2 linked regions of the Drosophila melanogaster genome follow. The protein of the gene in region 1 interacts with the protein of each later gene in a pairwise test. Each region holds a gene or a part of one and is shown in the gene's direction. Other genes may lie near its edges.

Region 1 (7,828 bases):
GACGATTAATCATCTGTAGAATTGAAAATTGTTTAGCTAAATTTAGTTTTTCTTTAACAACAAGGCGCCTAAATGAGTCAACAATGTGGTTTTTGGTTTAATACGTATAAAAGCGTTTTTGTAAATTTTCATAATTGAGCATATTCTTAGACATTCATCGTTGGTTCACAACAGTAGTAATACTAGGGGACCCCCCAAGTGGATCCGGATATGGTTCGTTAAAATACATTTGACAAAGCAGGATGACCATACATATAAGGCTTAATACTAAGTGCATCGTGGGAAAGCGTATTATATACTCGGATAACATAATAATCAACTTGTCGAACTAATCAGATCACATTCACAAGAAACTACAACATAAATAGCGAAATGGTTAAAAAGCAGTTTGTGTCCACAGCGAAGTGTTAAACATGGTTACGGAAAACGGAGAATCCATTTTAGTGCTGCGGCGAAGGTGGATTTCTCTGGAGGACACTATTGAGTCTCATCTTCAGCGGCGAAAAGTCAATTTTCTTGAAGCGTGGTAGGGAGGCGAACTTTTTCATGGTGCCTCCCTCGGGCTGCAACTCATTGGACGTGGCCACAGACTGAATCATGGGTTCCAGACGCGCTGGTGCGGGCAACGCCTTGCTGGGCGAATGCCCGATTTTGGCCAGCGTCGCATACTTTTGCAAAAGACGACTAGCCTTTTCCGCCGCTTGAAAGCGATCCTCGTACTCCTTCTCCAGATTTGGCTGTACAAAGCATTCGTTCGCTACGGGAAGAGCAGATGCTTTCGCCTTGCAGGAATCCTCAGATGCTTGGCTATCATCAAACTTAAAGTCAATGTTCTTCAAAACGGTCAAGTGCAGCAGTTCGTCATCCACGCCTTCATTGTTATTGTTATTGTTGCTTTGGTGGGTATTGTTGCTATTGGTGCTGTTCGGACGCTTTACCGGATGGGTGACTGCATAAACACTGTCAGAAATTTTGTGGGCGGCAGTCTTTTTGGTTGAGCTTTTAGTCTTGGCTGATACTGATGCTGATGAGATGGTGGCCGCCTTGTGACGCTGCTCAATGATTTGCTGGGGCGAGGAAATGTAGAGGTTCTCCTTTCGTTCACGTCGCAACTTGGAACTGACTAAGTGCCTAAAACTAGGTCCATGTTCGGTGGGACTGCGTCGCTTTGACTTGAGTGTGTCGCAGCTGTTCGGATAATAGGAGGGTATCTTGTCGTCCACACTGATAATCGACTTTCTTGGTGTCTGGTAGTAGTTTTCCTCCTCTGGCTTCTGTTGCAAAGTTTTGTCCTTGGGCGTTCCCTTTTGCGGCAAGGCCGGCGCCAGGGGAGATTCGGTGGGTGTGCTTGTGCTCAGTCCAAAGCCGACAGGCTGCGCCTCCAGCTCCTGTGCGGCCTTCACAGCCAAAAGGTTCTCGTAGAGGTGTTCCGCAAATCCAGCTGCAGCCGCTCCGACGGTACTGTTCAGAGAGGTTCCATGCATGACTTCGTATATGTCACTCTCATTGGCGATCTGCGTCTTGGTGGGCTGGTCCTCCGTGTTACAGCTGCTGGTGGAGGAGCAGTAGGAGCCCGTGGAATATCCGGAGGATGTGGACACTGTACTGCCGCCTGGCTGTGGTGGCAAATCTTTTACCGTCGCCTTTAAAATGGGTGCCATTACACAGTATCCCGTAAGGTCTTCGTGCAGTATCTTATTTTTCTTTAGCTGATTACTCTGCGGAACAGCTCCATGCGATCCAATGAGATTGATGGTTGACGTGTTACAAGCGGAAAAGTTGAAGTTGTACGGAAGTTGCTCCGAAACATTCAGACTTTCCAAAGAGTCTGCTTTGCCCAATTGGCTAGATATTTGCGCAATAATCTCATTGCGAGAGATCGGCTCAATGACCGACTCATCCAGACTAATGTTTATCTCCATGCTCGACTCATGGTTCTGGGCCTCGAAGTATTCTCCAAAGGTGTCCAGCAGATTGAGTTTGGACAAGTCCGGACTTGAGAAGCTATTACGCTGAGACTTGTTCAACTGGGATGTGCGCTTTACCGGAAGCACAGGCTCCGGCGTGGGGGCATTCTCATACAGTGGCAGGACCTCATCGCTGGGTTCATTGGCCACCTCGCTGGTGCTGCCGGAACGCTTTTGACGTGAACTCCCGAACAGGTTGTCCAGCATGTTCTTGTATTTCTTCTTCTTGGCCAGCTCCGATTCGGGATTGGTGCTGGACCGCGCAATCTCGCCAAGCTGGGCGCACTCAAAAGTGTTTATTCGCTGACGGTAAGGATGTGCGGGCAGCGGTGGCGGTGAAGGAGTCTCCATGACTGACGGCTTCATCTCTTCGTAAATGCCGGATGCGATTGAGACGCGGGAGATGCGGCTGCCGTCAAAAATCTCCTCGTATATTTGCGAGACTCGCGGAGAGAGAGCGCTAGCGTCGAGGGTTTCCGGCAGGTTAGGCAGTGGGCCCAGACCTCCGGGACCCCTGCTCAGCCGGCGCTGTTCTAGAAAGACCTGGCGATAAAGTTCCAGATTCTTAATCGACTTCCGCATCCATTTCATGTGACGTCGGCAGGATGTCTCCGTTTCCAGGGCGAAATAGATGAAGCAGTCCCGCCGATTTTGCGTCCAAAACAGCCCGTACGAGTGCTGCTTCGTGCGCGAGGTAGCCAGGCTCAAGCTGACGCCCGGAACGTTTACGGAGACGCTAATGGGTTTAGCGGGGTGACACTCTTGGGAGTGAGACTCGGTCTCCATGGCCTGGAAACTGAGCCGCAGGAAGCAGGGCACACACTTAATGGCCTCTATTTTCACTTGGCAGCGGGTCCATGTCTTGTAACGCAGCGCCACTGGTCGCTTATCGTGTGTATCCAGCTTGGCGTCCATAGTCATGGAGATTTCGTTGTGGTCCATCTTGGGGCTACTGCTACGTGGTGGGGCGGATGGAGGTGCGGTGAATGAGTTGCGAGTGAAAAATAAAAAAGTAAACGATCTATATCCGCTACTTCGAGAATTACATCTTTTTTGCGACTGGGTGGAGCTCTTATCGGCTATTCTCTTATCGCACGTTTATCCTTCGTGTCCTCGTGACGTGACTGGCGTTGCCACCTGGCGGAATATCACAGAAATCGCGTTTCTAGAAGACCAACAAATGAATTTATAACTTCAATATACATCAATCAAACTTAAGGTGCTCAGCCTAAGCTACACAGCTCTTTTAAGTTCTTTATTTATACTTTTAAATGCTAAATGCTTACATGTTATTTGGACATCTTGAGTACTAGCTTAATAAGAAGGTAGTATCCAAGCAATTCTTATTTATAATCTCTTAACTAATTTACACAATCTTTTAAATTATTTTCAAGATCCATAACCAGGTCTAAAACCAAACAAATAAAAACTAAAATCCTATTTATACTTCGCTTTATAGCTATTTTAATATTTATTATTAAAAAACGCTAATGATGTTTTCAAAAATGTTAGGCATTTCCTTTTAGTATTTAAAATTCTACATCCGACATTGGGGTATATTTGACTTCTACTTGGCTGAGTATGAATTATGATTTGCAAAAGAAGTAAAAATTTAACTTTAAAATTAGGTATCTGTCTAACTGTTTTTGTCGTTTAAAACACAGGGTAGGTATGGTTTTCTTTCAATTTAAAAACATCGCTAGAAAACTGTTTCCAAAAAGTAAGCTGCATTTTTTGTTTTTAGTTTTGCTTTATACAGAAATTTTAATACTATACTTTTTTGATAAGCATCCACCAGCAAGAATACAGCAAGCTTTTATTTAATATTTTATTAACATAATTATTTAATATGAATGATTGGTAATATTTTGAAGTACTCTACTACATAGCAGTCGTAGGATTTGTTATTTTTCACATTATTTTTGTAGGTTTGTAATTATATTTTAAGGGATATCTTAATTTTACATTCCTAAAATAATTTGGTAACTTTTTGCGATAGTCGTGACACGAAATCGAGGGATGAAATTGCATGTGATGCAGCCCCTTGAGCAAACAGTGTTGGACAACAGCGCGCGGCATCGGCATTTTTTGGCGGCCATTACAACGAATGGAAAACTGTGAAGCGTTGCGCACAAATTAATGCATAAACAACAGACAAGCAAGTAGCACACGCTCTGCCGCCTGACAACCAAACCCACCGAAAGCACAATACACATCTCCGAAGATGTCTTCGAGCGCTGCCAGGGTCTACATCCAAGTCGAGACAGAGGCCGAGCAGAAGGAGCACCTGAAGCAGCAGAGACAGACCCTGAAACCCTTGCAGGGCAACGTAAACGATAAGGAGAACCTCACTGGTTCAGGGCGCGCCTCCATCGTGGATCAGCTGAGTCGTCTGAAGGCCGGCGTCCAAGTCGCGCCCAAGTACGGCAAGCGCAAATGCGTGGACACGGCGCCCGCGATTTCCACAAAGGATGCGGATACCCAGACTGATGCTGAGGCCGTTCCGCTTGGCAATGCTGACAAGCCCATCACGGCAGAGGATCTCACTAGCACAGCCGAACCCGGCGAGAACTACTACAAGCTGCTGGCCGAGCAGCGGCGACTGGCGCTGGAGGACTCGCTCACCGAAAACCGCCATCTGCACGAGCGCATCGAGGGGCTTGAGGAGGAGATGGACACTATGCGCCAGGAACTGGACGAGGCCAAGAATTTGGTGGAGGTCCTGAAGGAGATCTGCGAAGAGGACAACAGCGAGGTGGAGGAGGACGACACTACGGGTGACGAGGACAAGGTCAACGCCTAGGCTACACACCAATCACACGTTTTTTTTAGTCTAAGGTTTTACATTTAGTTGTAGTTAAATATCGCGTTTATATCCCTGTTCGTCGTCAGCCAACACAACGGCTGGTCTAATTGTACGCCAGCAATATATTTACTTGTTACACGCCAGTTATAATCCTAATAAAGTTTTACATTTGCACAATTGCACACAATATTTAATTCGTATTCCTGTATTTTATGTGCAACTTATATAAACCATTTCGCATCCATATGCTAGTTTAGATATGCTCTTTTCCTTTCATTAATTCTACATCAAAACAAATGTGTTTATTAGCTTACATCAATGCGGATGGATTTCAATGTGTGGGGAGCTAACGCAAAAATAAAATACTCAAGGTACAACATATTTTTGAGACAAATATTTATTGGATGTAAAACTGTGAACTGCTACTTAAGCCAATCTGTAATAACTTCCTCGCTGTGGAAGTTATCCACGTCAAACTGCAATAAAGGAAGAGAAAAAGGTAAGTTTGGGAAGAGATACAAAGAACTAGTAACTCACCACAACGCACTCTTCGTAGGTGGGTACGGTGCCCACGATGTCTACATCGTTTACCACAGCGTTTATGTAAGCGGCATCTGCCTCGGCTGCCGCTATCAACACCGCAGTCTCGGAATCATCGGTCTCAGCGACGTGTGCAGCATCAGTTGAGGTGGCGGGATTCTCCTGCTCCTCCACCAAACCGTGAGCCGACTTCATGTGCAGGCGCAGGGCGAAGAGACGTGCGTACTCAGCTCCACAAGTATTACAATAGAACTTCCCAGCTGCCTGGCTCTTCGAGGTGGCCGCACTCTTAATGTTCGGCGTACCAGAGCCGACACTTCCTTTGCTGCTGATCTCCTTATGGGTCTGCATGTGATTCTTGACGGCGTACATCGAAGAAAATGGGCGATTGCACACGGCACACCGGTAAGGCTTGGTGTGGGTGTTTTTGTGGGCGTACAGCTGCACGGAGGTCCGAAAAGTCTTGGGGCACGCATCGCATGAAAACTGTCGTTCGGAGCTGTGGATGCGCAGGTGGTGGGAGTACACTTGGTGCGATTTAAAGCTAAAATAATAAGTTATTTAAAACTGTAATTCTATGAAACTTGATTTTACCCACCGCTTGTTGCACACCGTGCACACATACGGCCGAATGTTGGTGTGGGTACGCAGATGAAGGGTCAGGGAATATGACACCCGAAATGTCTTGCCGCAGACCTCGCAGGCGTAAGGCTTTTCTCCGGTGTGGACCCGTTCGTGCTTGACTTTTTCAAAGGGGCGGGTGAACACCCTCTCGCAGTACTGGCAGGGAAACCCGGGTTTCTCCTTATCGAGACTAGTACGCTGGGCTAATTTACGGGAGGACTCGGAGTCGCGCGGTTTCTCATGGATTTTTTGGTGCATCTGATAGGTAACTTCGTTCTCAAACTTCCGGTTGCAAATGCTGCACATAATCTCACTAGATTCCTGTTGGTGCATCTGTTTGTGTACCGTCAGGAGGGTTTCATCGAAGCTGGTAAATAAGGAAATGATTCGTGGTATTTCTTTCTATTGCAGATATAAGCATACCTTTTGTTGCATATTTCGCAGTAGAACTGGTCCAGCTCGCTGTACTGCTGATGGGCGCCTATAGGAAGGGCGTCCTGAATGCTCTTGGGAGCTCGATTCTCATGAATGCGCATGTGGAATTTGAGAAACTTCTCCGAGCTAAAAACGGTGTTGCAGATTCCGCAGCTAATAACGGATGATGCGTCTCTCGGACCCGTCCTTGCACTGACACTGGCCAACTTTCGCCGGACGGGTGCTTTCGCATCGCCATCTTGTTGGCTGGACCCGCCGGATTCCGCCCGCGGACATATGTGCTCCTCAGCTTTATTTCGGTTCTCGAAAATGCTGTGGCAGTCGTAACAGAAGTAGCGATCGGAATTGCTAGGCTCGTTTTGGTCCTTCTCCGCCTTCACGTTGGCCGGAACTTCCTCCACCAGCTCCCAGAGGGGTACGTCTGCGTAGACAATGTCCTCTTCCCCGACCTCTTCCGAAATGCAATCTTCGGCGACCTCCTCGATGAAATCCAATTCCCCGCTAGCGCCGGTGCAGCAGCCGGCCTGCGGACCGTGGGCCCTGTCGTAAGACTCGGTGTCCTCGTATACATTGCCGCAGCTCTCGCAGTAGAGGAATTCCTGCTGCAAGGCGCCTCCGGATAAGTCTCCATCCTCCACGTGGAGGTTCGGGGTAGTCTCCTCGGCCTGGTTGGACGCTGCAAGTGCATGTTACTCGACGTTCATACCCACGGAATCAGTGCACTTACATGACATGGCATAATTTGCTCCAATCTTTATTTACAACAAATAATAATGGGCAGATCCACAGCAATAATAACAAATGGTTTTTGGAAATCGAAGCGTTGCCACAGGGCTGGGTAAGTATTTGCGTTTTAGCTGGGTGGCAAGGCTAACAATCAAAATTTAAAATGTTAATAACATTTATTTTAAAGACTAGAACATTGAACCAGTAATTACAAAATTATAAAAACTTTTGTCAGCAAAGTTAACTTTTATATTTTTTGTTTAACTGAGAGATTATGTTAGTCGATTCGTCTTTAATTTCTGGTAACAGATACACTGTTCAACAGTCAAAGATTGGGCACTATAACATTTTAAAGACGAATTGTCGTACTCAAAATATTGGCACCTCCACGGCGTTTCCAGTGTTGCTAAACACGGACATAAAGTAATGCAGTTCCGTGCATAACACCCAGACTTCGCGCCAAATTCGAAAAAAAAGTTTACAACACACGCTTTATTGCGCCTAGAATAGCCTTGTATGTACAAAAAGAGGAGAAAGGGAATAACAATATTATACGTAAAACAGGGTCCGTTACATACTACTAAACGACTGGTGCCCATGGAAGCAGGAATGATTTGAAGCTCTCATTGACTAAATGGTACGATTGTATTTCTTAACGACGCGATCCCAAGCGAATCTAGAACAGCAGCGAATACAGTTGACCTCCAATGCGCCGACACACGTTTGAGAC
Region 2 (3,880 bases), on another chromosome or scaffold:
CAAAGCAAGTTTCTTCCGCTCGAATTTCTCATTGTGGACTAATTTTGAATTGAAACCAAAACAATTTAACTTTATTGAAAATATTTGTTAAAATTAATATATGATTGTAAATTGGCATATGAAAAGCCAAAGCGAGGCTTCTATTATTTTGATTCAAACTAAATGTTTGGAGTTTCGAAACCGAACAACAAGCAACTGCCGCTCGAATTCCACATTGCGGCTTAATTTTTAATTAAAACAAAATGCACACTAAATGCCCAAATACTTGGAAAATGTCGTGTGCTGTTGATTTTGGCTGCTGATTTTGTTGTTCGAGCGACTGTTGAGTGGCTTTCATTAGGGGCAATCGATTGAATGGAATGGAAAGGCGGCTGTGCCTGCCGTCTTTTGTTGTTTGCTCGCCGTTTGCTAAAATGTTTGCACTTGGCTTAAACGCAAAATTTGCTGATATTTGGCAAACAGGCGAAAGGATGCCCCGGAATGCGAAATGCAAAATGTGAAATGTGAAATGCAGCGATGCGTTGTCAATGGCAGCATCTGCGGTTTTCCACTGCCACGAGTGGAGTGGGTATTTTCCGAGCGGTTTTTCAGGGTAGCGGCTCGAATTGTTCATATTTTGATTAATTTCACTGTTCTGCTGCGACTCCTTGCTGTTGTTGTTGTTCTTGTTGCTGCCGCTGTTTGTCAAGCGGAGTAATTGCAAAATCCAGTGCATCTGTATATGTGCGTGTGTGCTGCAATTATGCTCACGCACACATACGCACACACGCACACTTAAGCACACATGCAAACTGCAGTTAAGCAAATAAAGCGCTAAAAGCATAAACTAAATGAATTAAACGACACACAGAGAGGCTTACAGCCCCTGCATTATGTATACACCCCAGTGTATATGCGTGTATATGTGCATGCACATATATATATATATATATATATATGGCTGATATACACCCACCCATATTTTCCTGGAACTTTCTATAAAATATGAGATAATAAAAAGTGAATTATGTTTTTGCACAGCAGCGGCAGAGGCGAATATATACATAAAAAAAAAAAACGAGAGCAAAAATGGGGCGGTAGAAAAACACGAATCTCGCAAATAAATGCGAATAACTACATCAACAGGGGGGCCACAGCAACAACAAGAGTTAATTGCAATTGTTTGTTCGCCAGCTTAGTTTTTTATTTGCACTTTAATTATGAAAAATAGTAGCAGAGCAGAGCAGAAACTAATTTTCATAAGTACACAACTTTGTGCTGGAAAAACAGAAGCAACACACAACGAGGACGAGCAGACACATGACTTATGACAAAACACAGAACTTGATGGCCAAGACCATGGACCGACCCCTCGACCACTGGACTCTTGGCCACTGGACTTTTGGCCACTCCACAGAGACACAAGGGAGCCACAGGAACGGGAAGCCAAATGAAATGAACGGAGTGGGTAGAACGAAGCACTCGGCGAGCGTATAAAGTTATAAATAATAATGCCGGAAAATTGCGCTGGTAACTGAACGCTTAAATGAATATCCTAGCAACTCCATGGCAATCATATATATAACTTTTCGAAATAAATGAGGGGTTGCGAACACTAGAGACACGTAATTGAATGTTATGAAAAATACAAATATTTTATAACGAAATTCCTTGAGTAGCCTTTTATTGGAATTTGAAAAAATTATGATGTCCATATATATCAACTCAGTATTTATGTACCAATGCACAAGAAGTACATAACATAATGCATTTCAAAAGCCTCCATTAAACATATGCAAAGCATATATTAATTGAGTTATATGAATATATATTATGATCTTATCAAACTTATCAAACAAAAACTGAGCAACTGTAACTTCTGGCTTATATTTGCTGAGTCAATCTTAAACCGTTTTTGGGAAAACTTAGTTGCCCAGTCGATCAGCTGCCAGGCTCATTCCGTTTCTCATTCAGTTCAGCTCCAAACTCGCTCGCCTTCAGAGCTCCGATTATATAATAAATTATATATCTGATTTTTACTTAAATTCGAGCTTTAACAATCGTTGCACCTTCGACGACAGTATGAACGTACCACTCGTAGCCCTCACCAAGGATCCCAAGATGAAGAAGTCACAGAAGAAGTCATCAATGGTGGCCGTTCCCAAGATGTCGCAGAAACCACAGAAGGCAGCACGTCTATTTCAGCCAAAGGTGGAGAACAAGATTACTTTGACCACTCCATTGACTGCACCCAAAAAGGAACGGGTGAAGGACATCAAGGTGGCAGATCCTCTTGAGAAGGAAGTAGAGTCAGTATTCGTTACAGTACCGAAAAACAAACTTTGCAAAACCAGACGCAATCGTCCTGGTGACCGACTCTTTGATCGCCGTTCCGGATCGAAACGCACTGGCGTAAAGGCGGTGGAAAAACGCAATGGAGCCGGGGCCCACAACTGGGGATCCATCCAGCAGGAGATCGACTTGCGTCAGAGGACCAATTTGCGCACCTTCGAAGGGATGAAGTTACCAAAGGTATCGAGTTTCGTCTACGAGTACGATTCATCGGAGGAGACCGAACAATATACACTCGACGAGTGGCGTGCCATGCAGGCGCAGAAAAAGCAGGTTTTGAATAAGTTTATAATGTCTGATTTCGGTACAAAGAAAGAAGTAACAGGGGGTTCTGAAGAAACTGTACGAGCCGAGGGATCAGGAGACACAGACGACACCAAAGGATTGGACAAAACAGGAGGAACTGAACAAACAGGAAATACTGAAACAGGGGAGAGGTCTGCTGGATCTGGAGAAACAGAAACAGCCGCAGCATCTGGAGTACCTGACGCATCTGGAGGATCTGGAGGAACTGAGGGATCTGGAGGATTAGGAGGATCAGGAGAGCTGGAAGACGATGGCGAAGAATTAACCGCTGACCGCCCGTTGTACGTTGTTGATATTCTGTTAAATTTCAACACTGATCAAGGTGTTATTCCTTATCGCTTAAAATTCATTTAATTTGCTTGCGTTTGCGTGTTACATAGTATTAAATCGTTCAAAATTAAATAATACATGTATTTTGAATAATTTCTACGTTCTTTAGGATATATATAAATCATAAATACATATAAAAACATAATCAAATAAAAATTTTATATTAGTTTATCAAGCTTTTAGTGATCTGAACAATTTTCCTTATTTTTTCAGGGCCTTCCAAATAATTGGGAAACCCTTAAAGTCATTTTAAGGCTGTTTCCCACAGTTTTGATGGAATTTTCCGGCGTCACCGCAAACTTTTCAGTTTTCCATGTTGTGTTTCCGCCTGTTTCTCACGCCCACCCCCAAGTTCGCCGCCCTGTTTCTGGTTTTTGTGCCTTCTCCTTCATGTTACATTAAATTGAACAAATTCTAGCGAAACAAAAACAAAAGCACAAAACTGTGGGAGTATAAGGAACTTTAGAGTGCAAAAATGGGGGAAAAAATAAGTCTGCCAACTTTTTTGCGCGGCCTATTCTCTGTCCCCCTCTCCCTATCACAAACTCTATCGCCCTCTCGCTTGCACGAATTACACAACTCACACGGCCCAGAAAGAGCCGGCAATAGTGAGCGAAAGGGAGAGCAAGAGCAACCAAAACTATCTGCGGAACTGCAAATTAAATGAAATTCTAGAAAGGTTCTTAGTTCCACTGTGGGTTTTCCACTAATGAAAATCTCTGTGTTTCCTATTTTCTTCTCCCTTAGTTCATTTCCACTCTGAAAGGTAGAATTCCCGTAGAATTCCATTGAACTTGAATTTGTGTCGCACGTTTTACGTATTCTATAACTGGCAACCAATTAGGAGCAAGATGCCCAGTAAGCCGAGCAGATCTCGGAAAACTGGGTGCTTGTTAAAATTGATTGCCAGCAA

The links. The genes of interacting proteins can lie anywhere in the genome.
Region 2: the proteins of geminin (region 1) and PPYR1 interact in a two-hybrid assay, tested with the Drosophila melanogaster proteins (one large-scale study listed by BioGRID).

What each region holds. Positions count from the first base shown.
Region 1 is NT_033778.4:6,652,593-6,660,420, reverse strand, and holds geminin (geminin), read left to right. Parts: upstream 1-3,826; 5' UTR 3,827-3,895; intron 3,896-3,966; 5' UTR 3,967-4,191; coding exon 4,192-4,770; 3' UTR 4,771-4,958; downstream 4,959-7,828. Other genes in the region: sced (scrambled), read right to left, coding at 441-2,909; Opbp (Optix-binding protein), read right to left, coding at 5,196-5,249, 5,311-5,857, 5,912-6,304, 6,361-7,048, 7,100-7,106; Debcl (death executioner Bcl-2), read right to left, coding at 7,775-7,828.
Region 2 is NC_004354.4:15,243,019-15,246,898, reverse strand, and holds PPYR1 (protein phosphatase Y regulator 1), read left to right. Parts: upstream 1-1,985; 5' UTR 1,986-2,061; coding exon 2,062-2,991; 3' UTR 2,992-3,040; downstream 3,041-3,880.